2 linked regions of the Notamacropus eugenii genome follow. The protein of the gene in region 1 purifies or fractionates together with the protein of each later gene. This does not show direct contact. Links are inferred from orthologs where the notes say so. Each region holds a gene or a part of one and is shown on either strand. Other genes may lie near its edges.

Region 1 (16,271 bases):
GCAGGAAGTCAAGAGTTCTAATCTTGCCTTACACTTACTAGCTATGTGAGTGGAAAAGTCTTGTTAGACTTAGAGGCTAATCTTCTCAGCCTCATGTCCTCATGGGTAAAGTGGGAGTAGCAACTACTTCACATGGATGTTATAAAGACCAAATTAGATAAAATATGTATAATTGTTTGAAAACCTTACAGTATTACATAAATGTTAGCTATTATTATTACAACCAATATTTCTTACCTTTTGGCAGTCCTCACTCTACTTAACATCTCTGTAGCTTCTGATACTGACCATCAAGCCCTTCTGGAAATTCTCTTCTCTGTTTTTTCTCCTCGTTTCCTGAACACTCCTTCTCAGTCTCCTTTGCTATAGCACCATGGTCCCTCCCACCCGCTAAGTGTGGGCACACTCCAAGGCTCTATCCTAGTCCCTTTACTTTGCTCTAGCTATAGTCTTCCCTTGGTAATCTCAGATTCCCTGGGATTAGATCTCCATCCAGGTGAATCTCAAATGTACATATCCAGCCCCAATCTCTCAACTAAACTCTAATCAATTACCTGTCTGCTGTCCCATAGACAACTCAAACTCAATAGGGTCAAAACAGAATTCCACACTGTTAATCACCTTCTACATACTTCCAGAACAATAAAATACAAAAACCCCTACATGGCATTTAAAGGCTTCCACATTCTGAATCTCATCTATCTTTCCAGTCATTTCATATTACTGCCCATCACATTCTCACTCTTGAACTGGTATGTTAGCTGTATCTCGTACACTACCTTCCATGTCCTGCTTCCAAACTTTTGCACAAACAAGCTCCTTCACCTCCACGTCTTATTGTCTCTAGCTTCCTTCAAGACACATATCAGTTGCTACCTCTTACCTGAAGCTTTCCTGATTCTTTCTCTTGGAATTACTTTTTATTAATTTTGAGCATTCTTTGTATTTACTCAGCTTACTTGTATATGTTGTCCCTACTAGAAGAATTTAAATTCCATGAGGGCATGAGGTTGCTTTGTTTCTGTCTTTTTAAATCCAATACCTTGAACATAATAGGCACTATCAAGTGAGATGAGATTGTATATTATTTTTCTTTTGTATACAAATACTTCAATACTTAAAAGGTGCTATGGACCTATTCACACTCAGGATAGCACTAAATCAGGACTACTAGTCTCCAAGGCAGGAAGGACCCAGGGGCAAGGACTGCTGAATTCCTGAGCAATTCTGAGGTCTATCTATCTGGCAATGTCTCACACCAAAGTAGCGTTATAAGCCGGGGAAAACTCATTTGGGGAGAACTAAAGGAAGGGAGGGATCCACAAAAAAAATTTTTTAATTCTTTATTGTCTATAGGTACAATCATGAGCCCATTCTACTAATTTTTTGTTGTGTTAGATAACATTTGCCCCTTACTTTATGTCTTATTAGCCAAAGTACTTGCATGTGAACCAGATACCGTTTTAGGGGAAGTGCCTGATTCTGAAGGTTTCCTCAGGTGGGAAGAAAAACACTAGTGAACTCATTAAGTGCACTTATTAACATTTTAGGAAGATCTTCTGACACATGTTCAAAGTAGGACAGGCTTTTTGACACCACTGCTAGAGAAAAAGTCTCTATAGTATACTTTACTATAACAGATCTTCCCTCAGATTCATATTCATTTGCAGCCCCTTTTTTAATGTCTTCTTGCTCAATCTTATAGCTTTTCTGATATAGGTCCCTAAATGCATCTCTCTCCTGTCCCTCTAGCTCTCCAACTATTTCTCAAAACTAGCCCTTACAAGCCATGGGAGTGCACATAAACAAAATTTACTTTGAAATCCAACTTCCCTTTACTTTTTAACAGTTATGCCTTCTTTTCGCCAACCTTTACAAAGGTCTCTTTCTCTTCCATTGCAACAGCAGAGGTTCCTTCATAGACTAATTAGTAATCAGTCACTGAAATGTGGGGAAAACAGTCTTCTTAAGCCGCCAAGTATGTTATCATTTTATATCCTCAGACCCAAGCTACTTCTAGTCCATTCTAAACCTCTCTCACACCTATCTTCATGCCAATTTAACACTGGTATCCCCATAAAGAATGGATAGAAATGAAAGAACAATACCTACTAGAAAATATTCACTAAAGGGTTCTAAAAGAACTGTGAAAATTTCAGTTTTTCCTAAATCTAGGGAAGTGGTTTGTGTAACGCAAAAGAAAAAATGTTTTCCATGGATTCAGATTTTTTTATTTCCACTGTAACTAGATTACCAAAAATTCCCAAAATATACTGTCTATATTACTAAAGTTTTACTTTACTGTATTTGTGAAGAAACATGTGTTGCTAAGTTATTACAGTTTTTCCAGCCAGCAACATATGGATATTAATTCATAACGATTTTACAAGCTGATCTGATGTTCCTTGCATTGTCTTGACTACTTAACTATGCTTCATAAAGCAAACAGAAGCCAATGAAAATTAAGTACGGGGGCTGAGAAACCATAACTAAGTAATATGCTGCACAGGAATAAGTCTAGGAATTTCTGCCTTAGATATTTCTATAACATGAACATCCAAATATTAGAAAAGGGGATTTTAAAAATAAATAATAATGACAACACCAGACATTTAAGTTCAGAACTTTAAAGTCTGCCAACTGCTTTTCTTATGTCCTCTCATTTAAGCCTAATCACCACCTTGTGAGGTAGGAACAAGCATCGTCCTTACTTTATCAATGAGGGAGCTCAGGTTCAGAGAGGTTAAGTAATCTCAATGACAACAGAGTCAGTGATTGACTGCAAGAGGGGAAATTGAGTCAAGGCTTTCTGACTCCAAAGGGATATTTTAAAATAAGAACTATAGTGAAAGCCATTAGTAGTAGCTTGGATTATTTATTTTTGGTTTCTGAAAAATTTCACATACACTTTTTAAGGTAGATAAAATTTTGCTACAATGTGAGTATTTTTTCTTATTTTCACCGTTTTAGACTAAACTAAATGGAAAGGAGGCCATTCTAGCATCAAACGCCTTTGGGTCTGTATCTGTAATTCAGACAACCACAGTTTATCTCTGGACAAACATACAGTAAAATTTATCCCAATTTAATTTTTGTGGCTGAACACAAGAATCAGAATAAAACAGGCAAAAGAAAACTCAATTTGTAATTTAAGTTCAAATTCTACTTCTGCTACCAAATATCTTAATCTTTCTAGTTCTGTTTCTTCAACAATAAAAGGGGTGATGAAATTGACCTCTAAGGTCCCTTTCGAATCTCAAACCATATATGATACCATTTAGTTTAAACAGGAAAGCATTAAAGTGAGATATATTCAAGTAGCTACTGAAAGTCACTTGAATGTCAGTTGTGGTTTTGACAAGTCCAAATTGATAAATTGATGTGATTTATGACTCCAGGTCATGTGCCTGAGTCTATTATAATCTTTTACTGAACTTTTCTGATTTTTTGACTGGACTTCTACCTGCTGCTGTTTAGACTTTCTGCTCCACTCCTATGAGTCTTAGGCACCTCACCAGGCCTCTAATGCCTTGGTGAACTGAACTGCATGCAGTGAGGTGGAATCGCAGAATGGTAGAACAAGACAAAGCATTTCTGTCAAGCTTACCCAGCATACCTCCCTCCCAAAATCCAGTAAATGTACCACAATAAAGCGAAATGAGAAAGCCAAGAAAAAGTCAGTAAGTCATTTTTCCAGGTCAGGGAAGCTAAGGTAGATAGCATATGGATATGGGGAATGGGGACCTGGTCAGAAACATGGGCAGCAATGAAGGAAATATTTAGCACCCAGGTATAAAGAGGAAAAGAAAAACCTGATCAGAAAGGTATCCCAGAGGATTTTTGAACTAGTGCTAGGTGCCATCTGGAAGCTACAGGGCACACTGGCCAGGTGTGGATCATGGAGGAGTGGTCATCAGAGAGCATGGGCCCACCCTAGCTGTGTACTGAGCAAGGAACAAGATCCAGAAATGCAGTTGTGTGGCTCTGAGCCCAGGAGAAGAGTGACAACTCAGTTCTAAACTTTAGCCTTAAGCCCTGTACACAGGCCTGCTATAGAGTAACCAGGGCAAGAATGCCAGATCAAAGGGAACCAGCAATTCAATTACTTCAAACCTACATAGCCTCCAAGCAGGATAACAGTGACTGAATCCAACAGCTATCTGCTGTAACTCAACCATACACAAGGCCAACAAATCAAAACCTTGTTAAGGAACTTGCAGAGAACCCAGACCAGGAGGAAAATGAACAGATCTTTTCCTGAACCACACCACTCTGGGAACACTGAAAAACTTGTAGGCCTCCAGTCAGAGATATGAAAGCAATAGAAGGATGTAAGAGGATAGAAGCTCAGGCCAGACATCTCTAAAGTGTGCAAAACCCAGTACTAACACAAAGTTCAAAGTCAAAGAGCAGGCTAAAAGTAAGAGGAAACAAATAAACAAAAAGAACTTATCCATGAAGACCTACTATGGTTACAGGGAAGCTCAAGATACAAACACAGAAGAGAATAACCTGGAAATAGCTATACACAAAGCCTCAAAGAAATGAAAAATGCATTGTGGACAAAAGCCCAACAAAAATTTTTGCAAGAATTTAAAAATGATTTAAAAAACCAAAAGAGAGCTATGGAAGAAAGGTCTGAAAAGAGAATTAGCAGCTTGTTAAAAGAGGATGAAAACCTTACTATACAAAGTGACTTCTTGAAACTCAGAACTGGACAAATGGAAGCTAATGACCCCAAGAAACATCAATCAATGATAAAATAAAATCAAAAGACTGAAATAAAAAAAAGACGTGAAATATCTCATAGGAAAAACTGACCTAGAAAACAAATCAAGGATATATAATCTAAAAACTCACTGGACTACCTGAAAGCAATGACTAAAAAAAAAAAAAAAATCTAGCTATCATTTTTCAAGAAATCGTAAAACTGCCCAGATATCTTAGAACCTGACAACAAAGCAGAAAATGAAAGAAACTACAATGTGAAAATTTCTAGGAACATTATGACTAAAATTCTGAGCTCCTATCAAGGAAAAAAAATTATTACAGACAAGTAACTAAAAAGAAAAAAATTCAAGATGTGCAGAGCCACAGTTAAATCACACAAGATTCAGCAGCCACCACTATAGAGAAGTGAAGAGATGTAATGATATTCCAAAAACTTGATCTAGGATTGCAACCAAGAATAACCTAGCCAGCAAAATGAAGTATAATTCTCTAGGGGGAAAAAGGACTTAAAGAAATACTTGACTTTCAAGCATTACTGATGAAAAGACTAGAGCTAAATAGAAAATTTGACACACAAATACAGGATTCAAGAGAAGCACAAAAAGGTAAATATGAGTAAGAAATCAAAAGGAATTAATAAGCTTAACTGTTTACTTCTTTATATGGAAGGATTATATGTAAATTCTCAGAACTTTATTATCATCACTGGGCTAAAACGGAATCTAATTAGAGAGCCTGAGTGTGGTTCTGTTACATTTAGATGAACTTAAAAGGTGCCCTGGGAGAGGAGGGAAAGAAGCATAAAAGGTGGAAGATATTATTTTATACAAATGAGGCACGCAAGGAAGAGTTGATACAAAAGAACAGGGAATAGTGGGGACTGGACAACACTTGAATCTTAACTGGTTCAAGGAAGGAAGAATATATACCCATACAACTGGGTACAGAAATGTATCTTACCCAACAAAGAAGAGGGAAAGAGGTTAAGGAGAAGGGGAAGGAAGGAATAAGAGGGAGGTCAAAAGCAGTCAGAAGTAAAAGTTACTTTTAAAGGAGTGGAGCCAAGATAGTGCAATAAAGAAGCTTTCGGTCAAGTTCTCCCAAATCTCCCTCTAATAAACTCTATAATAATGCTTCAAATCAAATGCTGGAGTGGCGGAACTAGTGAAATAATTTTCCAGCCCCAGACAATTTAGGAGTTGGTAGAAAAGGCCTGTCTTAGCACGGTGGTGGATGGGCCCAAGGACATGCTTTGGGGTAGCTCCATGGGTGATAGCAGCAATTCCAGCTCTTTCAGCCCACAGACTTTGGCGGTGGCAGGCAGAGGGTTAAACAACTGGTCAAAAGCAGATCCTAGAAGACCCTTTGCTGGTGCTGGAATCAGGACAGCTGCATTGTCCATACAGTTCCAGGTTGTAGTCCCAGGGCCAGAAGAAGCAGTAATACTTGTGGTACAGGAGAGTAGGGGCCCAGGTTATGGTTCAAGAGCAGAGAGGTATGCTTGTTGTCACCAATGGGAAGAGTAGGGACCCTGGTCTCAATTCTAAGACAGAGGCAAGAACTAGCAACTGTGACTGCAGGAGAGGAGAGGGACCTGGTCAGTCTTAAGGCCAGGAGGGATGATAGTACTGGTAGCTACAGGGAAACAAAGTCCCTTTCTGGGTAAAGACCAGTAAACAGATCAGGAGAACTGTGACCCCACCTCTCCTTAGATCATACTGACTTAGAAGTACCAGAAACCTACAGATCCCCAGAGCTAGCTCTGAAAACAATAGGAAGAAAGGCGTGAAGCTTGGAACAAACTATCCCAAGCACAGAACCCAACTTAAATATAAACTTAAAAGTTAAGATATAGGCTGAGAAATGGTCAAATAACAAAAAAAGAAAGTGATCAAAATAAATTACTATGGTGAAAGGGAAAAGTGAAGGCACAAATCTAGAAGACAAGTATATCAAAGCAGCTCCAAACAAAACTTCAAAGAAAAATGTGAACTGAATACATACCACACAAGAATACCTGGAAGAACTCAAAAAATATTTTAAAAATCAAATAAGAGAGGCAAAAGAGATGCTATAGTCAATAAAAACTTTTACAACTTATTTTTGTAACTAACCTGAGTCACATTTCTCTTTCTCTTTAGGAAACTTCACTTTGGAAGATCTCACAATTTTATTATTGTCCAGTTCTGATATTTTTAGTTTTCCTCTGGATGATGGGTCTGCCTTAGAGAGCACGGCATCTTTTTGATTCTTTATGTCTTTATTTTTTGATTCTTTCTCATCCTTTTGCAGATTATTTTGTGCATGCACTTTCTTAACTCTACTTGAATGCTGTGTTTTCCAAATATTTTCATAATCATCTGGCTTTTTCCCAAGTCCAAAGTCTTCCTTTGGCTTAACAGTATTGCTTTTTTCCTTATCCAGTAATTTTTTTGAATCTCCTTTTTTAGTTTTCTGGTTCTTTTTGTTAGTTTTCTTTTTGTTTGATGCTTCACTATCTTTATCTGAGAGATCAGAGTCTGAATCTGATAAGTCATAATAACGTTTCAAATCCTCTGTACTGCTGTGACTTATGGGACGTCCTCTTTTATCCACAGTATATTTCAACTTGAACTTTTTGTCATGGAACATTGCTCGAAATCTCTTATCAATTTTAATTTTTCGGTCCTTTTCTGGCATTTCCCAAAATCTAGGGTCCTGTGTAATTCGCCGAAACCGCTCATCCTTCATAAGATCTTCTTTTGATGCCATTTTTAAACTTCTTTGTTGACCAAAACCTCGAATAGCCTAAAAAACTGAAAAAATGTGACTATAAAGATTTAAGTTTGCTAAACCAAAATTGGTTTCAAGAAAACTTCAGTGAATCTTTTAAGTTACATTTTATATAAAATAAAGCAACATACGATAAAATGGTTTACGTTGTTCTCTACTAAAAAGTGGGTTACACCTACAATATTCATATTTTTAAAATTTTTTAATTTTTAAAAAGCATCCTAGTGGTCAGACCAGGTTTCCCAGTTTTCTGGCTCAGAAAATTGCTACCCTAATTAATCACCCTGCACAAAAGAAAACCTCACAAGGGATGTGGGAACACCTATCTTTTCCAAAGAAATCTGAAGCAATAAAAGTATCACCTAAAAAATAAGTAACAATAAATAACACAACCTCCAATACATCAAAAATAGGAATACAGAGATTTCCACGCCATCATCAAATTTTAGAGCTGAAACCTGCCTAACAACCAGCTTTCTTTTTTTATCCTCAAACTCCTGGTTTCGCTAAAATACTGGGGATAAGCGTAGAAAACTTCTGGGCTCTCCCCAAAAGAGGGTGAGGGGGTGTGGCTGCCATTCTGGTCCGGCACTCTCCCCCACAAGCTCCCAAACTACGTAAGGAGGGTCGAGAGAACGACAAGGGCTGGCCTGCGCAAGGCCAGGGTGCCTCACGAGCCTCGGTGCCGCGTACCGCACCAACCCTTGTGCGACGTTCTATATTACAGCACGTTTTACAGAGGGGAAATTTAGGTCTCAAAAAAACTAATAACACTAAGTGTGCACGTGTATATATTCACACATATGCACAGATACATATGCCCATATATGGTACGTATTTCACTACGTGCCAGGCACTACGCGAAGCGCTTCACAATCGTTATTTCATTTGATCCTCACAACAACCCGGGGGTGGGGGGAGGGGAAGGTATCGTGACAACCCCCATCTCACAGATAAGGACACTGAGAAAAAACGGTTAAACGCTTTTCCCAGGGTCACAAGGTAGGAACTGTCTGAGGGCGGAGGTGCACTCAGATCTCCGTGCTCCAGGGCCAGAGCTCTACCCGTTACGTGTCCGAGCACGGACGCACGGCCGGCACGTGAGCAGTTCCCCTACCTCACGCAGGTGGAGGAAGCCCTCGGCACTCGGAGGGGCCGGCTGCTCCCCCGATGAAGAGGAAGATCGAGGACGGTGGCCACTATCACTTCCTGGCCAGGGTCAGGCTATAGTCAGTAGACTATACCATTCACCTTGGAGAGGTGAATCTCTTACAACTCCGCCACCCGAACTTGGAGCTCTCTCGGCGAGTGTTCTCGCAACATCACATGGAGAAATTCAGGCCCACAATCCTTTGCGTTAAGCTCCGGAGCTACGGCAAGTGATCCAGGTCAAACCCGTAGCTTCGCGTTAAGCGCGCCTGCGGAAGTGTATCTGTAGTACTGCCGCCGCGCATGCGCATGGACGTGCGGGCGACGGTGCGTCGGCGCGTTGACGTGACCGACGGAGGTTGCGCGGAGGTCGAGGGCGGCGAGCTGACATGCTGAGGGCTGCGCGGTTGCCGTGGTGCCGGCGGCTCGTACCGCTGGCGCCTCCCCGCCCGGCGGGCTGTGGTTGTGGCGGTGGCCGGCAGAGCAGATCCCGGGGCACTTCTTCGTGCTTCTCCCCGTTGGGCGGCACCGCCCCCGGCGTCGTGAATGTCTTCGATCGGGCGTTGAAGAGGAAACAGAAGAACTGGGCGGCCCAGCAGCCGGAACACCTGAAGTACGACTACCTGAAGGAAGAGGTGAGTGCATCGTCTCGGGAGGGCGCGAGCGGGGAGGCCCGGCCCCGACACGGATCGCAGCCAACCCCGCTGCCGCTGACCTGAGCCACGAATGGATAAAGGTAAAGTTTCCTCCGGCTGGGGATGCCAGGTACGGAGAACCGGCCTGGACATAGGCACGGAGGCAGGAAGTTAGGCGGCTGCGTTCTGGGACTAAGAGCCAAGTCGACGTACGCATCAAGTCAGTTCCACAGTCAGTCAACAAACGTTTAAGTGCCAGGTTCTATGCCATGTGTTGGAGAACGAAAGAAAGCCCCTTCCCCCGTACGCCCGATTGTATCATAACTCCCCAAATATGTTTAAAGCGTTGTGCTAAGCCCTGGGGATAGAAAGTCCTCAAAGAACTTAAATTTTAATGGAATCATGCCCCAGTTATGGTGCCTTTACTAGTATCTTGCATTTATTTTGCTCTTTAACTCACGATTCTCTTGACAAAAGTAGGTGCGATATCAAACTAATTTTACAGATGTGGAAACTGAGGCTGGGAGAGGTTAATTGAGGTCCCGCTAGGAAGAGCTGACTTGAAACCGCGTCTCAGCACTATCCACTTTAACCTGTCTAAGCTTCATCTTTTAAAAGGAAATAATAATAGTGCATACTCTGCAAAGTGCGATATAAGTGTTATCACTAGCTGTAAGCTTACTCTTCCAGGCCTACTTTATTAATTCAGATATAAATAGTCATCCTTTTTTCATTCAGTTTTATTTTCAATTCCAGTCTCTCCCTTCTCTCACAGCCACCTATCGAGAAGGCAAGAAATACACAACTCTTTCCAAATACAATTTTTAAATACACATAAACTATGAAATCAAAACAACGTTCTGTGTCAAAGAAACGGGTTTTTTCCTCTAAAAGTAAACAAGCCTGTGCTATAAGTAGGTAAAGGGAATCCAGCAACATGGAAAGATTTAGAATACTAAAAAACCCACTGTAAGTTAGGCTGAAAAATGTGAGCAAAACTGTTAAATAATTTAAAACCAGTTTATGTTAAAACACTACATGTTGACTTTATATAAAGAATTTTAGATGCATTCAGTGTTTTTGATACTGCTTAATGGAAGCAGTTGTCATCTTAAAGGAACATAAGAGCTAAAGTTGGAAAGGACCTTAGAGATCATTTAGTCTAGCTTATCCTTTTTGTAGACAAGGAAAATGAGGTGGGGAGGGATGAAGTGATTTGCCAAAAAATACAGGCAGTAAGCAGAAGGGCAGCTGGTGTTGTAGTGGATGGAGCAGGACGACCTTAGTTCGTATTCAGCCTCAGACATTTAACTAGCTGTGTGACTCTGGGCAAGTCACTTAACCCTGTCTGCCTCAGTTTCCTTACATTTGAAATGTGCTGGAGAAGGAAATGGAAAGCCAATCTAGTATCTTTGCCAAGCAAAGCCCAAAAGGAGTCCTGAAGAGTCAGACATGACTGAAAGAATGACTAAGCCACAACAGAAGCAGCAGAGGCTGACTTTGACTTCAAATCCATTTCTCTTCTATGCTTTGGTTAGAGCTTTAGCTGCTAGCAAATGGATAAGATTTTGAGTTTCCCAAATCCCATCACCTTTTATTGTGTTTTCAAACTTACGTTTATTCTAGTATAACGCCCAAACAGTAATCATTCCACCAACGTTAATTGCCTGCTCTGTCCTAAATATTACTCTGAGCCCTTGGGAATGCAGAAATAAAGATCAAATGATTTGTGCTTTCTTGGAGTTTACATCCTGTTTAGGGAGACAACAAGCACATGTAAGGCATACACAAAATAAATAAAAGATAACTTAGTGGGCAGCCACTAGCTCCTACAGTAAAAAAAGTGATTGGGAAAGAAGAACATGTCTCCTTCCTACCTCTAGTCCTAGAATCTAACTTAATTTCAGATTTGTAGAGGCGGGGATCCCAGTGATCTCATTGACTTCCTTAGGTTCCACTCTTATTAACTTCATTTTATAGAGGGAAACTGAGGTGGAAGTTAAGTTTCTTGGCCAGGATCCTGAATATCATGAGGCAGAATTTAAACTCGGGTCTTCCTGACTCCCAAGTTTAGCACTTTATCCCCTGTACCCCCTAGATGCTGATATTCTATCTCCTTCCTGTGTACTTTTTCACAGGCTATCCATGGTCCCTGGAATGCCCTTCTACCTCACCTCTGTCTCTCATAACTCCTAACTGTCTTCAAGGCTCATTTTAAATGTCACCTCCTACAGTAGGAAGTGTTTCCTGATTGCTTGTGCTCTCTTCCCACCCCCACCCCAAAAAGCACTAGTTGTCCCCAGGGCCTGGAATATACTCCTTCCTTACCTCTGCCTCATAGTCTACCTTTTTTCCTTTAAGATACATCTCAGGTACCATCTTTTGCATGAAACCTTTCCTTTTCTCCCCCAACTGCTAGTGTCCTCTCTCCAAAACAGCCTTATCTTTACTTTGTACATGTTTATTTATTCACTTTATGGTTATGCTGAACATGTTTACATATCTGTCTTTTCTTTTAGAATGCAAGTTCCCTGCAAATAGAGCTCATTTCATTCTTTATACTTATATCCCCAAAGACTCTACATTTTTTCTGTAGTAGAATGTAACCTCCTCTAGGACAAGGATTGTTTTTATTTTGTACATTGTATTCCCAGCACCAAATTTTAGGTATGGCACATAGTAGGCACTTAAAAAACTTGAAAAATTGAATTCTTATTAGGAAAACCTGATCATCTTGTCATTGCTTTTTATTTCAGATTGGTGGTCGTGTTGCTGACCGTGTATATGATATAGCCAGGTAAGGTAATGGTCAACTTAACAAAGTATTATTAACTCTGAGGCACAGTCTTGTTTTGATGGTTCTGTCATGTCATATGAGTTCCCTTTCTAGTGATGCAGATTGAAGCTAATCCACACCTTCTCATTTTGTCTACTCTTGTCTATGTCCTTCTAGAATTCCTCCCAATATACTAGAGTTCTTGCTTTCAGTATCTTGGTATTGCTTTGATAAAAAGTGGAGCATGCTATGTGTCTACCACTTTTCCCTTGTGGCATTACATAACAGAATCATAGAATTTTATAGTTGAAAGGGATATTAAAAGTATCTTTAGTGCAGTTTATTACCTGAACAAAGGTATAACAAATGTTCATCTAGTTTTTCACTTGTGTGTATTCCAATATGGGGCAATCGACAAAGCCCATACCTCTAATTAATAAGTATTTACTTATTTCAAGCCTAAACTTAACTCTTTGCCACTTCTACCTATTGCTTCTAGGTCTTCCCTCTGGGGCCAGAAAAAACAAATCTAACCTCTTTCACATTACAGCCCTTCAAACACTTGAAGACAGTTATTATGTCTGCTAAGTTTTCTCTTCTCTAGCCTAAACATCCTTAGTTTCTTCAACCATGTTACATGTATCTCCCGTTCTGAAAAAGGTCTCAGGAGATCCTTTCATCCCCACTCTCATCTTATGTCTCTTCTGCTCTTTGTACTAAACTCTTTGAAAAGGCCATTTGCAATAGATCCCTCCAATTTTTCTCCTCTTATGATTTCTTCTTAACTCCCTACAATAGTTTTCAGTCTTATTCCACTGAAGCCACCCTCTCCAGTTACCCTTGCTCTCTTAGTTGACAAATCCAGTGACCTTTTCTCAGTCCTCATTCTCCTTGACCTCTCAGCAGTCTTTGACACCATTGATCATTTTCTTCGTAATACTCTTTTCTCTCTAGGTTTTCAAGACACTCACTATTCTCTCTTGGTTTTCTTCCTACCTATATGACCACTTCTGTTTCCTTTGCTGGTTCCTCCTCCAAATCATGTCCAGGGTTTTGTCCTGGGTCTTCCTCTCCTTTCCCTGCATATTATTTCGCTTGGTGATCTCATCAGCTCCTGTGGATTTAATTACCATCTCTATGCTGACAATTCTCAAATTTACTTTCTTACTCCAAACTTGCTCCTTCTCTCCAGTCTCACATCTCCACTTGCCTTTTAGACATCTCAAATTAGATATCTAGTAGACATCTTAAACTCAATATGTCCAAAACAGAACTCATCTTTCCCCCTAAACCCTTCACTTTCTACCTTCCCTATTTATTATAGAGGGCAACTGTTGACTTTGCACTGCCCTCTCTTGGTTAAATCCAGTTCACTTGGATGTCATTGCATCACCTCCCTGATAATATGGTCCTCTTTGAGAATGAAGCACAAACAACAACTTCTCTGAGTAGTAGTAGGAGTTGCCTCACTGGGCACCCAACTGGTAATGGCCAGTTGGGCAACACAGCTCCTTTCTTTCTCTTCCTTTCTTCCTTCTTTCCCTCTGTCCACATAAGATACATAGGGTGTCATACCCTTACTTGTGGGTGCTCTGCCCAAAGGACTATAAATTTTGATCTCTGAAACCTAGCAAAATAGCTTGGGGTTCTAGCAGCTAGATTTCTTTCTTAAGTACCATGCCTTTTAAACCCAAATCACTCTGGCTGTCATTGTTTGGCCAACGATAGTTCCTAGGCCAAGCTCCACTTGCTCATTGTTTGGGCCATGATTGACTCAGAGTGAACGTAAATAGCAGTTATTTTTGTTTTGGCCAGAAATCCTGAGGGTCTTCTCTTCCCAGATTTTTTTTTTTAAACTAGGTAACATAGCCCATTCTCTGTTAAATTTCTTACTTAGCCTTAATCACTAAATGTCATTGCCTCAGTCAAAGTGAGACCTATTAAAGGCCTTAGCTTAAAAAGACCAATGTCTCTCACTGCATCCAGAGTATCTTCATTCCTCCTGATCTATATCTTGCCACTGGACCCAGATGGCTCTGGAGGAGAAAGTGAGGGTGATGACTTTGTATGGTCCTTCCTTGCTTAAATCCAATTCACATGCATGTCATGGCATCACCTCCCTGATGTCATGGTCCTCTTCAAGATCAAAGGACAGACAACAACAGAGAGCAACACCATCGTCCCAGTCCCTCAGGTTTGAAACCTAGGCATCATTCTGGATTCCTCACTGTAGCCAAACTCATGCCAAGCAAGGCTTATTGATTTCATCTAAGTAACATTGCTTGAATACTCCCTTCTCTCCTCCGACACTTGCACCACTTTGGTGCAGGTCCTCATCACCTCATGCCTTGTGTATTGCAGTAACCTGCTGGTGGGTCTACCTGATATACCTCCTCACTCCAATCCATTCTTCATTCAGTCACTAATGTGATTTTTCTAAAATGAAGATCTGGCCATGTCACTCCTCTACTCCATCCACTCCATTGACTTCCTATTATAGCCTGCAGGAGCAAATACAAAGTGTTTTATTTGGCATTCAGAGCCCTTCATAAAATTTAACTCCCATCTGTCTTTCCAGTCTTCTTATACCTTTCTCCCTAACATGTATTCTTCTGTCCAGTGACACTGGCTCCTGGTTGTTCCACAGATATGGTACTCCATCTATCAGCTTCAGATATTTTTTCTGGATATTCCATTCCTGGAACAAATATTCTCCTTCCTCTGCTGATTACTGACTTCCATGATTTCCTTTGAGTCCCAACTAAAATCCCAGTGCTCTTAATTCCAGTGCCTTCCGTCTGTTAATTGTTTTCTCTTTATCCTATATGTAGCTTCCTTGTATATATTTCTTTGTATGTTGTCTCCCTTGTTAGATTATGAATTCCTAGAGGGCAGGGTCTGCCTTTTGCTTCTTTGTATCCCCAGCACTTATCACATAGCAGGTGCTTAATAAATGTTTATTGAATGAATCAATAATAGTACTTTATTATAGGAGTCTTTTTCTGTTTGCTCATTCTTCCAGCCTCACTTTCTGAATTGGGACTTTGTCTTAGATCCTGGCTCTCTGCACTTCTGGTGGGAATGTCTGAGTCTTGATTAGTCCCACCAGGTATTCTCTGGGATCCAGCTGCTGCTCTATGGATTAAGTCCTCTGGTTTTGAAGGTGCTAAGAGGTGGCTCTGGATGGATCCCTGAAAGCAAACTTGCCCTGCCCCCTATGAAGTCTGATGTAGAGAACAGTCTGATCACTGCTCTCTTTTCTGAGCTTTGCAAGCTCCTCACCTGGGTTCAGCTCTGGATGATACTAATTAGGCTTGATTTTGGTTGGTTCTCCAGAAGATTGTTGCTACCCTTGGTGCAAGTCTCCTGGTTGGAGCTCCAGTAAGCTGTTGATGCTTCTAGGCACATGTCCCCTCCTTGCTGCACACTGGGATTTAGACTTAGGTCGGGGGTTAAAGTCACCATACTGCCAGTTTACTCATATTACTATTCCTTGAACACGTCAGGCCTGTCCCTGCCTGATCCTAAACAACTCATTGCCCTGATACATGCTCTAGTTACTAATTATTACTCTAGGGCTTAGTATAATCCCTCTACTACAAGGCTCTGCTTCCTTGTCTTCTGACTAGGCTTATCCCTACTCCCCAGAGACTTCTGTCTATCTTCCTATGCTGACCTGAGCTGGAAAAATGATTCTGTGCACCCCATAGATTTCCTAAACAAAGCCAGAAATCCAAAAAAGGATTTCTCTTTCCTGTTATTTCTAGGTCTTTATGGGAATAATTGTAGGTTCTACTGAACTGAATTTTATTCTTTCTTCCTACTCTACCATCTTTACTGGCTTCTCATTTCACAGTTTCTTTATAGTCTTCTTTCTTGTTCTTTTCTGTAGTGATAGTCTGTGCTTCAATTAATTTCCCAATGGTTAGCATCTCCTTTTACTCTCCTATCCTGGTGTTACCAAACTCATAAATGTAAAGAAAAACCTCTTTCCTCAGCCGTAGTTGTCTACTCCCTCATTCCCATCTATCTCAACCTTACCTCCCAGCATCTCCTTTAGTTCTGCCCATCCCTTCCCTTGTGTTCTCTGGAAAATCTGCTCAGTAATTTACAAACTTATTCTCATTTCAGACTCTTCCTTTCTCCTTCTATCTTCTCTCATTTACTGATATTGACTTCTTCCTGATATTACTTATCCCATGGTTGTA
Region 2 (16,251 bases), on another chromosome or scaffold:
ATCAAAACTTTATTTATGATAAGACTGAAAAGAATACAATGCCTAATAGCTAATACAAGTAAAATTCTATTCCTTTCAGCTTTTGCATTCAATCTCAGTAATAGCAACACTGGATCAGAAAGGTATTCCCATAGGGAAGTGGGAATTATGATAAATCTCTCATTATGAAGGCTGAATTTTTTTTTTTATGCCCCATGAACTCCATACCAACTAAGTCCGAAGGGCAGCATCTAAGGGGAGGCTGCCCCAGCCTATGTAAAATAAAGACTTCCTACCATATCCCACCACCTGGTGACAGGGTCCTCCAATTCCTTCAGTGCAGGGGTTGGCAAACTCGGGGCCAAGGGTTATATAATAAAACTTTATTTTAAAATGTAAAGACCATTCTTATCTTGCTGGCCATACAAAAATTATGCAGATCCCTATTCAGGGGATCTTTGTTTGCTGAAAAGACCTTCAAGTAACTGACCTTGAAAGGAGTCTGGCATAAGCAGTACTGGAGGAATATTCCAAGTGCATGTAATAAAAATACAAAGCAATACAAAATATCCTTTAAAAAGCAGAATCCATGTAGTGGGGGTGGTAACAGGCAGTTCATAGATGGTCTTCCAATGTAAAAGTAACACGAAGCCAGGGGGTTAGACTAGGACCTAGACTGCCTGGACCACCACATTGGCAAGGGCAATAACAGCCAGTGTTATCAGTGCAATAATTTTACTCAATTCCCAATAATCTACTGTAACCCCTAGGTAATATCCACCTTCTTTCGCAGCCACAGAAGCTTATTATAAGGGGAGTTGGAATAAGTTTAGCCCCCTTCGTTTTCATTACAAGGAAAGAAGTATCTTTCACAGACCCCTCTTCACACACACACGCACACACGCAAACTCATATCTCATATGCCCTTTTTGGCCCTTAGTATTTATTTAAATCTTAGATCATTCCGTCAATGAAGAGCCTCATGTGACATAATAAGAAATCTCATACTAGTTAGAAATGAGAGACAGGTGATAGGCTCCTGCTCAGAAACATGCTGGAACTATGGCCCTTTGGGGCTTCTGATTTAGCTGACTTGGTACTAACTTTGCAGAGAAAACCTCTGCAAATTCCCTAAGCCAAAGGAACTGCTGCTGAAAGAATTTTGTCATTAGATCACATATTCATTAGTTCATTCCAATGAATCATCGGTTTGCAGTTGCCATTTCTCTTATAATCTTTCAATTCCCTCCATCCTGAAAGCCATCTTCAACTCTCCAGAAGAGAACATCGTGGAAGTTTGTAACAAAGCTTTCTTACTGGTGGATGTTCTTGGCTCCTATTATCTTCCTTCTTAGTTTTAGTCTCATCGATGCTTTTCTGTTATCAGTCTTCACTCTCTCAGCCTAGCCTTTTTTAACCTGAGAAATTTCTAAATTCATTAACTACACACCATCCCCTCCTTGAAGGCATGATCCTTAAAAACCAAAAATCTTTTCTTTCACATCCCAATTGATGACCATGCAGTGAGTTTTTCATTTTCCTTAGGTTGGTAATCCAGTTTTTCTCTATCTCTCAGCAAAAGCCAGGGAATACTGATCCTCCCTTTTTTATTCTCCCTACCAAGGTCCTCAAATATCCACTGGGCTAACGCACCAGGGTCAGTGAAAGCTACCTCCTTCCCTAAATATGCCTAACACAAATGCAGCTCCCATACTTGGCTACGCAGTCACCCAAGGAGCCTTTTCCCACGTTGTATTTCAATCTAAACCTGCTGGCAAATGCCAGATGGTCTAGGCTAGGCCTCATTTGGGCCAGTCCAATGATTCAGATTAGGGATTAGAAACAGGTAGCTGGCAGTTTAAAGTACTGGACCTGGAGTCAGGAAAATCTTGTTTCAGACACAGTAGTATCTGCCTCTCAGGGCTGCAGTAAGATCAAATGAGGTATTTGTAAAGGGCCATATAATGCTAGCCATTACTATTATTAGCACAATACAACACTTGTGGACCATAAAATGCAATAAAATTGTATACTAAAAAAAGGATGTAATTACTAATGCAATTATACTCAGTTATCCTCCACTTTTGCATTCAACATGGCAATAGTCAGAAAGGAATCTCTAGGGAACTCAACTAAACCTTTTCAGTGCAGATGCCATAGGCTGGGCTTTTTATACCTGTAGTCCTCCACACCAAGGAAGGAAAGGGGAAGGGCATGCACATTTATTAAGCACCTGCTATGTACTAAGTTCTTAATATGATCACATTTGATCCTCATGACAATCCTGGAAGATAGATGCCATTATCTTCATTTTGCAGCTGAGGAAATTGAAGCAGACAGAAGTGAAGTGACTTACCTAGGTCAGAGTATCTGGGTCCAGACTCAAACTCCCTTTCTGACACCAGGCTTAGCACTCTATCTGCTGTACCACCTAGCTACCTCCTGATTTTAAAGCAAAACTACCTTGTCTAAACAAAGCAAATACCACTTTTACCCTAGGAAGAAACAGGGTAGTATTTAGAAAGAAGGATTCTTAAGGGGAATATAGTTGGAAGTATAGAAGGCCTATCCCTTCTTCCCCAGCATCCATATAGACACATCAAGTCCTCCATCCTTCCGTGTCTTTACTTCTTTCTAAGACATCTGCTCATGCTCAGCCCTTCCTGACTGAATTAACTTGGCTGAGTTAGGCCAGCGTTTCATGGAGATACAAAGATTAGTGGACGTAAAAGCCAGACAACTATCCATTAGATCTGAGGTGAGCAAAGAAATGAAAATTTAATAGGCAAAAGTGGAAGCATGGGTGTTTTGGGTGGGGGAGGGGATTTTTCCCCTAGGGTTGACTTATTAAAGTCAACTGGTTAACAGCAAAAAAGTATAATGGTAAATGGCTATATAATTATTTGTAAATGAAAGGAGATAGTAGTACTCTTAAGAAATATCAGACACCTGGTAACACTTGAATGAACTGATGCAGATGGAAGTAGAACCAAAACAATTTAGGCAACCATAATAATACAAAGGAAAACAGCTCTGAAAGACTACAGAGCTCTGATTAATGCAAAGACCAATCATGACATTAGATGATGAATCATGCTTCCCACCATTTGGCAAATGATAGGTGATGGAATCAATGTACAGAATGAGTTACACATTTTCAGCTATGGCCCATGTATTGGTTTTTCTTAACCATGCAAATTTGTTACAAAAGATTCTGTTGTGGAGAGGGAGGAGGAAGAGTTGATGAGGACCTAAAGAAGCAAAGATCATCACGAAAACTTTTTTAAATACAAAAAAGTTTAGAAGGCCAAAAACTGCCCTGCTCATGTCTTATTACTGTTCTTAGCTCTTTAAAAATCTGTAACAAAAAATTCCATTTCACATACAATCTTCTTTTGTATGTTGAAATGTTCATGTTTGCCAGCCAAGATTTAAATTTTAAAACACAAAACCTAGAGTTTATTTTATAGAGCTAAGGCTAATAGTTTTCACTTGTTTTTCAAGTCGTTACACAGGAGTGGAAACCTTACCAGAGTTCTTGCTTCTCGAGGGTTGTTAAATTTTCTTTGGGCATGGTACTCAGTCTCAGAAAAGTCAAGCCACAATATATACTTATACAGCTAATTTAAACTCAGACTTTATTTTTAATTAAACTAGGTCCCACTTTAACCAAAATTTTTATTTACACAAAGTTTGCAAAATAACTCTTACACCATCCATCCTTGCTAATTCTGTTTGGCTTTTATGTGTGTATGTGTGCATATACATAACGTATGTATACATGTATGAGTGTGTGCAAGTGTGCACAAGCACATCCTTAAAACAAAGAAACACTTGTTTCACTTCTAAGAGCTTCAGGTGTTTGCTGCCTTGGTGCTGTAGGTAAAATCCGACTTCATGCTGATGGCTAGCACTGAATGGAAGGTGAATTCCAGTGATTCAAAGCCCATCCTAATGCATCAGTTCACGGTCTTCTTGGCCTGAAATGATAAAAAGCATGTGGAGTCAACTGACTGCTTTAATATTAAACATGATTCTGTTATGAAAATATAGGAAATCAAGCACTGTTGGGAAGAGGCAGAATTTGCCAACTGCCCACCCTGCCCTAACAAGATAAATGGATCTATCTGTTCATCAACTTTGCCTATAATCCCTAGTTTGATTATGGTGCCCCAGCAAAGGTTCTGATTTTGTTCTCTCATATTCTCATTAGTTTTGGTCTACAGCACATCTACAGCTTACAACTCCTGACCCCAACTATTTGTATTGACCTATCTATCTGTCTTTGGTCATAAGGGGAACCTGTTAAAATATGGATGGATAGTGATTCACACTAGGAAAAATTAAAGCACAACACTACTTAGGGTGGCACAGAAAGATAATTTTCCCAAGGATGGCATATTTAGGTTAAGCTTTTCCCATTAATGGGAAATAATTAGGTTAAATAATTCATTTCTGAACTTGAGGATTTCACCTTCTCTTTCTCACAAGCTTTTTCCAGTGCTGAGTAACTAGACAGAATGACATTTCTCCTCCTTCCCCACTTCTTAACCCACCCACTGCTAACCCAAAATAATGAAGCTGTTTTCAGGAAAGAGAAATAATGAAATAGTGAAAAAACAATCAATGAAGGATAGATTTACTGGAGAAGAGAAAAACTAAGCTCTTCAGTAGTAGAGGCAGCGTGTGGCCTTTGACAAGGGCACTGGCTGTCTGGATCTCTTGACATTGCTTTTTAATTGCAATGATATGAACTACGTAAATTCTTTCAGTACAGCATTCATACTTTTGATCATCTCATGTTTAAGAAAGTATCCCTTATATTCAAATGAAATCTATTATATATATAGTTTAAAAGCACTCTTTCTAGTTTAATCATTTGTGGCTGTAACTACCAAAAATCACTTTGTTAAAACCTTTCATGCACCGTAATCATATAGCTCTTTAGTCATCTCTTGTCCACTCAGATCCTAATACCTAAAAGGCTTCATTTTCAGGATAGTGATAGTCTGCGTATCCTTTACTAGAAGACAATCACAATTTGGACTCAACTTCAAACTGGCCACAGGGTTTTGATTTTTAACCACAGCAACTTTTTACAGGTCTTTAGTATTTAAATAAATATTCCCCAGGCATAATGCACTATGTCCACGACTGTATATCCAAAACTGGACATTCCATTTTATTAAAAATCTAACATGCAGGCTTCACTATAGTGTTTACCCAACAACACAGATTCAAAGAGTCATTTGGGCAATGAGGAGTTAATGTAACATTGCTACTCAGCAATCCTGCAAAATGTCTTATGTTTTGATATTTTAAGTATCAATCTCCTGGGAGAATCTAACAGGAGTTATAGGTTACTGTTTCATATTTTAAGTGGTTGTCAATATGCACTTATGAGTCTCCTGTTTTAAGCCATTTCTTGAGTGGAGTTAATAGCAATCCAAGACCTGGAAAAAAAAACAAACCAAACTTACTTTCCATTACACTGCTATGCTAACTTATTTGTTTATTCATTCTGGAAACTATCATTAACTGTGTCATTCTAGAGATGGACAGCAGATTACTCAGCAGTAAGGAATCACATTCCTTCGACTAAGTCCTAAATTTAGGCCTCATGACTCCAGCAGCCTTTCCCCCCAATACAGCTTTGTCCAGTCATCTGTACTGGTAAGGTGCTGGTCCTCTGGAAGCAGTGCAGTGCAGAGAATACAGCTTTGTCCAGTCATCTGTACTGGTAAGGTGCTGGTCCTCTGGAAGCAGTGCAGTGCAGAGGTTCTCATCCTGCCTCTGACTGTGTATTACTACCCTAACTCAGACAAGTCACTTCACCTCCTTAGGTTTCAGTCACTTGTAAAACAAGAAGGACTGAAGTGGAAGGTGCTTCAGGTTCTTCCTAGCTCAGGTCTTCGGTTCTATGATCCTTTACATCAATCTCCTTGAAAACGGGAGGAAATGTAGTCCTTCCCTCCAAACTAAACCTGACCAGCTATGTTCAGGACACCATAAAGGTTAAAGAGAGATAACAAAACGCCAAAAAAACAGTCTCTGCTCTACGATCTATTAATAAGATGTTACTGTTAGAGGAAATAACTACAAAACAGGGTAAGTGCCACAGGAGTGCCAGGAGGGACGATTCAGCCGTGGGCATGGGAGCTGGTCTGGGGAGGAGGGGGGTTGAGACAATCCAGAGGAGGGTCTGCAAGAGCGAGGAGTGGGGACTCCTCCGTGTGCCCAGCTCCAGCAGAAGTATACGCTGCACCTGGTTCTAGCATGTTTTACGTGAGTTCTCTGTAGTAGGCATCTTCAAGGGTCGGGGGCTTTTAGGGGGTGCCGTGCTTCATGCAGGGGACGGTCCCCTTTCAATATCTAAGGTGGCACCGTCTCCACCACCCTTCTCCTAGGCCCTGCACCCAGGCAGGGAGCGGAACCTGCTGGGGAGGGGGATGGGAGGGAAGGGAAGCCGTAACAAGGCCCAGCGGCCGCACGTACAGCTGCCAGGAAGCAATTCCTCAGGGCCTCAAACTCCTTGGCGCAAAGGTTCTTCCTCAGGTCCCCGCCGGGGGCCGTGGCGGCCTGGACGCACTTCCCATACGCCGCGGCCTGGAGGGGAGAGAGAGAGACAGATCGGAAGGCCCGGTCACGGGGGAAGGGCCTCCGCGCTCCGGCCCCGAATTTCCAGAAGAGACCCTCTCACCTCGGCCCCACAGGTCGCCAGCCTCTCCGGAAAGCTCTGTATCCGGCTTCGAACTCGGCTCCACACAGCTCCGGTCCCCGACATGAGAAGCTTGTCCTCTCCCCCTTAGACGCTGCCATCTTGGATCCTCCTACTTCCGGCTTCTGTTCACTGCTGATAGGGTGGAACTCCTGTCTTTAACTTTAGGAGAACCTTCTTATTGGTTTAATGATAATTTCCCCCTCCTCTTCCCTCCCGTCATCACCATCACCCGCTTCCCTGAAGGATTCACTCGATTCTCTCAGAGCCTTGTCATTGGTTCATAGCCCTTGTCTGTTTCCGTTCTCCGACTTCGGATTGGTCCGAGATCAATTTGTTTATTAAGGACGTCCTCGGGGCTCCTCCCCTCCGCGAGCGATTGGCCTACAGTACCCGCTCCGGCACGGTGATTGGCGGAAGTGGGAGCCGGCTGGTGAGGGCGTCCGGGGATCATGGCCGCTCCGCAGCTCCGGGACCGGCTGAGCTTCTTACACCGAGTGAGTACCAGGCTGCACCCGAGCCCCGCTGACCAGACCTATGACTCCGGCCGATACCCAAGAGGCCTGGGCTGTGGCCTCTGCACTGCCCTGGCCTCCGATCCGAGCCATTTACCCGGGCAGAGGTCGCCCGCTCTCCCGTTCCGAGGGAGAACTTCGGGCAGGGCCCGGGGCCTCCCTGGGCCTCCGTCTCCTGCCACTCCGGCCGTCTCTGGCTGCGTCTGCAAGCCCTGGCCTCCCGAGGTCTTCTCCCCTTCCCACCCCCCTTTCCGGCTGCACGTGCCGAGAACCTCTGCGCCTCAGTTTTCCTCCCCTGTAAAATGGGCGGGCTGGGGGAGAAGGTCCCCAGAATGCCCTCAGCGCCTGCTCCGTGGTCCCGTGATCCTCCACGTCCTCTTATTCTTTCGCTTCCCAGCCCCCTCCCCAGTCACCCAAGCAGAGCTACTGTCCGGATCCTTTCCTGCCGAGGGTCTGCCTTCCTCGGCCATGCCCACAGCTCTCCTGGAAGGGTGGTTCCCTCCCTCCCCATTCAGGGATCCGTGTCGTCTTCCGGTCCCCTTATCCAGACTTAGAAACCTCCTCCGAGCAGTTCCTTCCTCCTCTTCGTGTGTGCACCCCAACCTTAAGTCCTTTATAAAGCCAGGGTTCTTAATAGCCTGGGATCCATTTGTTTTCTAAAGTATTCTGATGTCCATATTTCAATATAACCACTTTCCTTAATTTTACGTATTTAAAGGCATCATTCTCACAAGGGGGTCCATAGGCTTCACCGAACACACCCAGAAAACTACTTGGAGAAAGAGGTTCATGGGCTTTACCAAGTCAACAAACATTTATTACCCGCCTGCTGTGCACCCAATACTTTGCTAAGCCAAAGAAAGGCAAAGAGCAACCCTTGCCCTCAAGGAGTTTAAAATCTAATGAAGAGACAGCCTAGGAATAACTATGTGCAAACAAAGTTATATACAGAATAAGTTGGTGGTAATCTCAGAGGGAAGGTACTTTCATTAAGGGGACTTGGAAAAGTTTCTTGGAGAAGGTAGGATTTTTAACTAGGATTAGAAGGAAGCCAGGTTACCAAGCCCCCTGAGCAAACTGACCCCTTCTCTCTCAAGGTTTGCTGCTGTACTGATGATGTTGAGATATAGTTATCAGAATATCTGAAAATATCATCATATATTTTTTTAAAGTTCATGGACCTTGGGCTGTTAAGAACCCCTTGCCTGAGATAAGGAAGAAATCTGTCTGGAACCTTCCCATTCTCTTCTCCTTCTCCTTCTCTCCTCAATTTCAGTCTAACAGTCTCTTATTTCCCTTGGTGGCGCTGTCCACTCTTGCTACTCACTCTGAAATTTCACGACAATTGACAAAGAAGGGATGACAGGAACATAACATTATTAAATAGAAGCAGAGGTCTGTAATTTTCTTTTTTCCCCAAATTTATTAATTTATTTGTTTTCAGTTTTCAACAATTTCTAACATAAGTTCCAGATTTTCTCCCCCTACTCCCTCCCCAAGACAGCATGCAATCTTATATGGGCTCTACATATACATTCCTATTAAACACATTTTCACTTTAGTCATGTTGCATAGAAGAATTAAAACCAATGGGAGAAACCATGAGAAAAGCAAAACATAACAAAAGAGAAAATAGTCCTTCATTCTGTGTTCCGACTCCATAGTTCTTTCTTGGGGTGTCGATGGCATTTTGCATCAAGTCCTTTGTAATTTTCTAGTACAGCTTCTCTTCACTCCCCTCTTTCCTACTCATACTTCCTTCCTCAATACACACATGCAGTGGGATCCAACGCTGTTCCTTTCCAGTCCTTGACTTCTGTGGTCACCAACCAGGTTTTACCACAATTACTTAAAAGTTCTTTTGAGTTCTTTTACAACTTTTTTGAATGAAGTTCATATTACCCTCCTGTTCAGAATGTCATAATTATTTCTAAAAGGAAAGATATTGGTGATTTCTGTAGCAGGATTACAGCTCTGAGGTAAACTACCTGACGGTAGTTGATCCTTCGCATGATTTCTGTTGGCAGTGGGCATTATTCAGTCCCTACTGCCTGTCAAGCATGCCTAGTGATGTCACTGCCAGTATAGGGTGATGCCAGCTTTCAGAATTGATTTAGGTGCCAGGTCAGAAACGTAGGAGGGTGTTGAAATAACTAACACACTAAACCTAGGGTTGGGCTTGTCCAAACTTCAGTTCCATGTGGACGATTTTGGTGACGCATAGTGGCGTCTATCTTAATATAATCTAGAGGGAGAGTCAGAGTGAGCCAGCAAGCTTCTGTCTCCCTTGTTGTCTTTCTGGGGCATCCCTTACTTTATATTAGGGGGAAAGCCTAATAATGACTCAGCCCTAGATTATTTAGCTCATTCCAAATTCTGTGCAAATCTTTGATAATACACATACTTGCTTTTACATAGTTGTACATCCTAAGTAGTGTTTCCTTTTTCACTTAACATTTCATCTGAACATTTCCATGATCTTACATACTTCATATCTTTGTCATTTTAAAGTCAAGATAGTGTTACAGACCATTCAAGTGCCAGTTATGTGTCAGGATGCGCAGATTTGGAGTATCCACCTCAAATATTCATACGAACTATCTGTGCCCAACCTGTGGTAGAGCATTCTGAGCCACAGTCCAACACACTGAAACTTCACTTTATCATGGTGATGTTATTTTGGTCCTCTTTAAGAATGAAGGACAACAACCAACCATGTGATCTGCCATTACACCATTCTTGTATTGTTTGAATTATTTCTACTCTTGTAAGTGGTACCACTCTAAACATTTTTGAACAGATTTTTCCCCTCTTTGGATGATTTCCTTGGGATCTGTTCTACAAGATAGATTCCCAGATCAAAGGACAAAGAATAGAAGCCTTTTTGTATCTTTTGTGACATATTACCACATTTTCTTCAGAAAAACTGAAACTGTATCTTGGGTGCCACTGAAAATGTATATAAACATGGATGTAGGTAAATAAGAAATAAGTACACCAATTTCCCTACAACACAGCCAATATCAGACTTTGTTATTCTAATTTATTTTTGCTAGCTCAGTAGATATATGATGGTACCTTAAAGTTATGTCTCTTTAATTGCCAGGGAAGCTATGACCTATGGGCCACCTCATTCCAAGCACAGGAATCTTCCTATTTGCTTGGAAAGCTGCATGCTGGAACAACTTTTCTTATTTACCACTCAACTCTACCATCCCTATGAGCTATCAGTGGCGTCCCCAGCAAACCTGTTTCACTGGCATATTGAAAAAAGAAATGAACATAAATTTGGGGCTAAATGCTCCATTAGCAACACCATCCTGTTAGAGCTAGTATCCAGGTCACATTTTCTTGGGTGACAAGACCTTCCATGTATGGAAGGAACTGTACCTAAAGAACAAACATGGATATAGGGATGTCCCTGTGTGAAAAGATTACCAATGGAGATGGGGGGGGGGGGTTTCTCTTGTTCTCATCTAGCTCCCAATTCTGATGAAAGGAACGTCTGATGATGATGTCCCATGCCCTGGCTACCTGTTTGAAGAGATTGCTAGTATCCTTTTCCCAAGAAGACAAGAACAGCAGCTTTTGGGACAGGCCATGAAAGAGCTATGGTTTTGATGGGATTACCTATCAGGGATTACTGGATTATTTAAGAGGCACATTGAGGTGGTTTGGTAATTGGATTGGGAAGACTAATAAGGCTGTATGCTGGTTCTTCAGCTAAACCTAAATTATCATAGTTTTTCCTCAAAAGAAATTATTATAGAAAAAAAGGAGGAGGTTGTAGTGAGAAGGCTCAATTTTCCCCTTCCCTTCATTGCAATCTGGAGTCTGTCCTTTCCCTAACATGATTGCCTCCCAGAAATTTCCCATGAGTCAGTGGGAAGCAGCCAGTGTCTGTTGGAGTACCTCCTGAACCGTTTACAGAGCAACTCCTGCCATGTTAAACTCAAGGTAAGCAGGAGAGAGGAAGGGTAGGACCCCTCAGCTGGTTCCCAGGGCCCTGGTCGAGTCAAGACAAGCCAGGGCAGAATTTAGACAGAAGAAAAGAAAGAGAAAGAAGAGGACAGTGGTACGGTTAATCCACATCACAGATGTATGTGGATGGTATGGTAGCACAGGGGGCTTTCCCGGGCCCTGGGTATGTGTCATTAGGTCTGCATTGCAACCCAATGTGGTCTTTCACTTGATATCTTTTCTCTTTCCAGGCACTGAAAATCTTGCTGTACATGTGTAGCCATGGCTCTTCATCCTTTCTGCTTGCACTCAAACGCAATGTGTCCTTCATCCAGGAAGCAGCAGGTATCTGGGAGTTTTAGAACTAATCTCTGTTGGGAGATTATAGAGAAAAGTGGGAAAAGTTCAGTTAGAATATTCAGTTTCCTTTTCCTATCAGTTTTAGTTTGGAATTTGACCCTTTCGTAACATTAATTAGGAAATGACATTGTAATTCACAGAAATCTCTATCTTAGAGTGAGAGAGAAGACAATAAGGGTTTGGTTTCAGGATGGAGAAAGTCTGAACTCCCATCAGGGGACATGGATTCCACATCCTCAGCCTGGCTTGGGCCCTGTCTCCTCCTCTTGAGGACTGTTCTCCAGAAGCCAATTGAAGGGGGAAATTGAACGATTCTCCAGACCTTGAGTGGCTGTTTACATTTACTGATAAAGGAAAGTCCACTCGGAGCTGGGGGGAGGGAGAACTTATTTATTTATTCCGAGCAAAGAAACAGGTGGTTCTGGAATTGGGCCTTCAATTCTTGCCTTCTGATCTTGGTTCCATCAGTCTTTTCACATTAGTTGCCTATACTCAGAGCTAGTTAAACTTCTGCTTGTCCTCATGGGAAGAGGGGAATGAAAAACATTGACTGGAGTTAAAGGAAAACATCTCCCTGGAGCAATTTTAAAGGCTCTTAATCCGTGGAATGTCCTTGGAAATATATCCCAGGGATGGGCATCATTGCTGCTGACTGCTCCAGCCAGCTGCTCTGAGTGAAGGAGTGGAATGACAAGGCCCTGCAAAAAGTCACCTAGTCCTTTGATCAGGACCTCTTTTCAACCAGGCATTAAAAGTTAGCTCTGTTTCCTGAAAATCTTCCCCCAACCCCCCCCCCAAAGTCCATGAATTCTTTGAGTAATTGAATACATTATTTTGCAACCTTTTCAGACCTAGGGTCTGTCCTTTCATCTCTCTTACATCTGTCTTTCATCAGTGGGAGCTCATTCTCTTTTGATCTCTTCTTCATGATGTTACCAGAAAGGTGGCATTTTAGGGCAAGATACGGAGGCTTTGAGGAAAATGTCCCTGGAGGCTAACACAGAGAGACATCCAAGTGCTTGAGGGAAAGAAGTCCTGGAGAAGGGAACGGAGTGACAAGAGGCAGCGACTCTGGGGAAGCAACTGAGGGACATGGGAAGTTGGGCTTTTGGAGTAATCTAGCACTTGTGTGGAGAGCCATTTCTAAATGGACTGGAATGGAGAAATCGTTCTATACATTTGGGAGTAAATGGTTCAGAGCCTCATGTTTTTTTCTACTTCCTGCCCTCCTTATTTTGTAGTATTTGGTGGTCTCCCAGATCCTCTTCATGGAAACAGCTTATATCAGAAGGTCCGAGTGGCTGCCCAGGTGAGTCTTAAAGCTAGCATTAAGTCTGAGCAATATTGAACAAGGAGGCCTCCCTCTGGATTAGGCGGTACTTGGTGGACACCTTTGCCCATTGGCATCCTGAGTTTAGAATGCAGGGCTTGTGCCTGAGAGCTAGTCTCCCATTTTCCTTTTCTTGCCCACCCAAAGAATGTTGCTATGGACCATCCTGGGACTTGGAGAGAATTTCTGTTCCTTATTGTTTGTTTAGTCGCACCCCTTTAGCATCTTGCTGGGGCTGAGGGAGGTGGAGCGCAGAGCAGAGCCCTCTCAGGACTGCTGAGTGCAGAGGGCAGGATGCTGACACAACTTTCCATCCCTCTTCTAGGACTTGGCGAGTGCTTTGTTTTCTGATAACTTGTTGCCGTTGCCTTCCTCCCAGTCTCCTAGGTCCCTTCCTTCAACAGGTAAAGTAGATACTCCCTTCTCTTCCTTTCTCTTTAAGTCAGTTTTCAGTCCCTTTTATCCCTGGGCCCTTTAAGTCAGTGCTTGCTGGGTCAAAATGGAGAAAAACTCATCTTCTCTCTCTGTTCCCTTCCCCTGGAGTTTCTCTGCCCAGTGAATGTGGAATTTCTCCCTTCTCACTTCCAGCTCAAGGTATTTTATTTTTCTCCCTAGGTATGGGATCCCAGTCCAGTTCCTATAGCACCCTCCAAGGCTTTGGCTACACCAAGGACAAGGGAAGCTCTGGTGAGTATTCACCATGGGACTCCAGTCTTCTTAGTTCAAGGTGTTCTCTTACTGCTGCTCTTACTGGTCTGTCCGTCTGAGGATGGCATAGGCTGCGTCAGCAGAGGACTTTCTGGAAAGCTGGTCAAAGGAAATAAGATCGAGAAGGCTTTGTTTGCAAAACTTCAAGTGCTATATCAGCATTGGGTTAGAAAAAAAAGGACTGGGATATCTTGGTTTTCCTGAAGTGGAGTTTATGGGGCTAATGGCTAAGGACTTTGAGGATAAGGACTTAGCAACACTGATACCAAGCTTTAGAGCCATGCTCAGGGTATGGGCACTGTGACCTTGACCTGAGCTGGGGAAAGTTGAGAGCTGGGTCCAATTGGCCAGAGGGCAGGAAACCTAAAGTTGACTTCCAGTAAATAATATGTGACAATCTGAATGGACCTGTGCTCTCCTTCCCCTCGCCAGTTTCACATTTCTTTTGCCTTGTTTTTGGTAGGATCATAGAATGTTGAGAGATAGCTATGGTATAGTGGATAGAGGGTCTGGATAGAGGGTCAGACTAGAGGCAGGAAGGCCTGGATTCAAATCCTGCTTCAGAAATTTACTGTCTAGGTGACCACGGGCAAGCCACATAAACACTGAGCCTCTGCTTCCTTGTCAAAGTGGGGAATAGTGATAGTAGGATTCAGTGGGATTAAGGGAGATGTTATATGTGAAGCAGTTTACAAACATTAAAAGTTCTATATAAACCTCAGCTACTAATGTTCCCTGGAATGGTTATTAGGGATCATCTGCTCCAGATCCTCAGGCAGCTGAGACCAAGAGATTGTGACTTGCAGGGGATTGGTCATCGAGGGAATTCTAATCAGGGAAGATAATTTCACTTCTTTCTCTAGCTCCTCTTTTCCTGTTGTTTTTTTCTTTCCCATTTATGCTTTACTAATAATATCAGTACCTTAAATTTGTATAACATCTTTAACTTTTCAAGGTATTTTCATATGTATCATCTTGCTTTATCCTTATAGACGAGGGAACAGATGCTTAGCATGCTCAAGTGATTCCTTTAATTTGAGGCAGAGCAGGAACTAGAAGTTAGTGTCCACATTGCTGCATTCCTTACTCTGTGTGTGTGTGTGTTTCTCTTTGGGCAGCTTAGCTGCTACTCCTGAGTTCTGAGATAGGGATTAAGTGTTTGGAGGGAGCACAACAGTACAGTCCTACTGCATGTTTGGGATACTGCTTCTATCCTAGTGGTCAGATGTGCCTGAAGCTTGGGCGTGCCAGGTTGTGGAGTCAGGAGATAGTCAATTATACTGGAAAGGGTATACTGCTGGAATTGTCTTGTTGCCAGCTGTGTCTTCTGTTCCCTCCTAAACCTGAATCTCATTCTGCTGAGGCCTGCTGTTTAGTGATGTCTGTCTGTTCTCTGAGCTCCAGAAGCAGAGAACAGCCCATACAACATCCTTTCCTCTCACGTCAAAACTGTAACTTGGAGATGTGGAACAGACTGTAATAATCTCTTCTCTCCTCTGGCACAGGCTTTGCTGGTGAAGCCCTTCTCACCACCATCCAGAAGGCTGCTGAGGTGGTAGCTAATGCTGTGCTCCCTGGGCATGAGAGCCCCATTATCCAGAGCCAGGTGCTGAGGGAGGATACCTACCAACCTGTAATAGCACCTTCTGCTATCCAGGGTCACTTTACTCCCAGGAAACCACCACCTGGGCCTGCCCAGAGTATCCGAGGTATGACCCCCACAGAGGCTGGTCCTCCTTCCTATTTGATTTTCTTGCCACCCATCAATAAGCAGGCTCAGGGAGAACAACCCCAAGGAAGAGAATCTAGGTTCAGCTACTGGTTGTGATCAAGTAGACTTTTCTTCCTTCCTGGGACCAGAAGATTGTAGGATCCAAGACAGAACATTGCCTTTCCTAGCTAAAACGTAGAAAACTCTATGGGGTGAGGGTAGGGAGTAAAGAGATAGCTTCACAATTCAGGGAAGACTAAAGAAGTAGTAGGAGGTAAGGAAGTAGAATCTTCTCCCTGAGTTCCCCTTTATGTTGGCCTGGCTGTGGCTAATCTCATATGTTAGTGCAGCACTTGTTGCTTAGTGCAGCAACTGTGGATTGCTGAGTTTAAGAAGCCCAGGGTGAGGGAGGAGCTCTGGGGAATTGCCTATCTCAAAGGTTCTTAGCCTGATAAGTTCTGCCTCTCCTTGTGCCTCTCCACTGTTTTCATCACTTGGCTCTTTGCAGAATGTGTTTGCAGAAGTCTTCCCAATCTTTTCCTTTAGCTGTTTTTTGTAAAGGTTACTATCATTAGCCCCATTTACAGAGATGAGAAGACTGCCTTTGGAAGGTCAGTGATGTGTAGAGTGAGGGTTGCATAAAGTATCAGTTAGTACCTGGACTTCAGTGCCTAGCCTCGGAGTTGCCTTTCTGTCCTCTTTTCTTTTGAGCCACACTTCCTCTTTGGTCTGCTTTGGCAAATAGAACCATGGCATCTTTAGGCCTTTGAGCAGAGCCGGCTGCCCTACTCTGTGCCTCGCATAGTGCCTTGTTCACAACAGATGCTTTAATAAATCTTTGTTGTATTGAATTGACTTGAATCCAGCAGATCAACACAGACCCTTCTCCTCAGGGGCTCTGCCCTTTATGACTACTCCCGTGGAGTCTCCGATGGATGGAGTCCCCATAGAGCTGAGGAGCGGGTGACTT

The links.
Region 2: the proteins of NDUFAF5 (region 1) and NDUFAF8 purify together in Homo sapiens (affinity purification with mass spectrometry; 3 studies listed by BioGRID and IntAct, counting the BioPlex papers as one, with this or other methods). This does not show direct contact. The link is inferred for Notamacropus eugenii from reciprocal best matches to the Homo sapiens genes NDUFAF5 and NDUFAF8.

What each region holds. Positions count from the first base shown.
Region 1 is NC_092872.1:587,946,490-587,962,760, forward strand, and holds the start of NDUFAF5 (arginine-hydroxylase NDUFAF5, mitochondrial), read left to right. Parts: upstream 1-8,936; 5' UTR 8,937-9,041; coding exon 9,042-9,287; intron 9,288-12,043; coding exon 12,044-12,084; intron 12,085-16,271. Other genes in the region: ESF1 homolog, read right to left, coding at 6,846-7,482. UniProt on the Homo sapiens protein: Arginine hydroxylase that mediates hydroxylation of 'Arg-111' of NDUFS7 and is involved in the assembly of mitochondrial NADH:ubiquinone oxidoreductase complex (complex I, MT-ND1) at early stages. May also have methyltransferase activity.
Region 2 is NC_092873.1:324,703,767-324,720,017, reverse strand, and holds NDUFAF8 (NADH dehydrogenase [ubiquinone] 1 alpha subcomplex assembly factor 8), read right to left. Parts: upstream 6,837-16,251; 5' UTR 6,764-6,836; coding exon 6,680-6,763; intron 6,586-6,679; coding exon 6,475-6,585; intron 3,960-6,474; coding exon 3,939-3,959; 3' UTR 3,601-3,938; downstream 1-3,600. Other genes in the region: AP-4 complex accessory subunit tepsin, read left to right, coding at 7,150-7,194, 10,693-10,765, 11,078-11,169, 11,424-11,517, 12,774-12,841, 13,188-13,266, 13,478-13,549, 15,076-15,279. UniProt on the Homo sapiens protein: Involved in the assembly of mitochondrial NADH:ubiquinone oxidoreductase complex (complex I, MT-ND1). Required to stabilize NDUFAF5.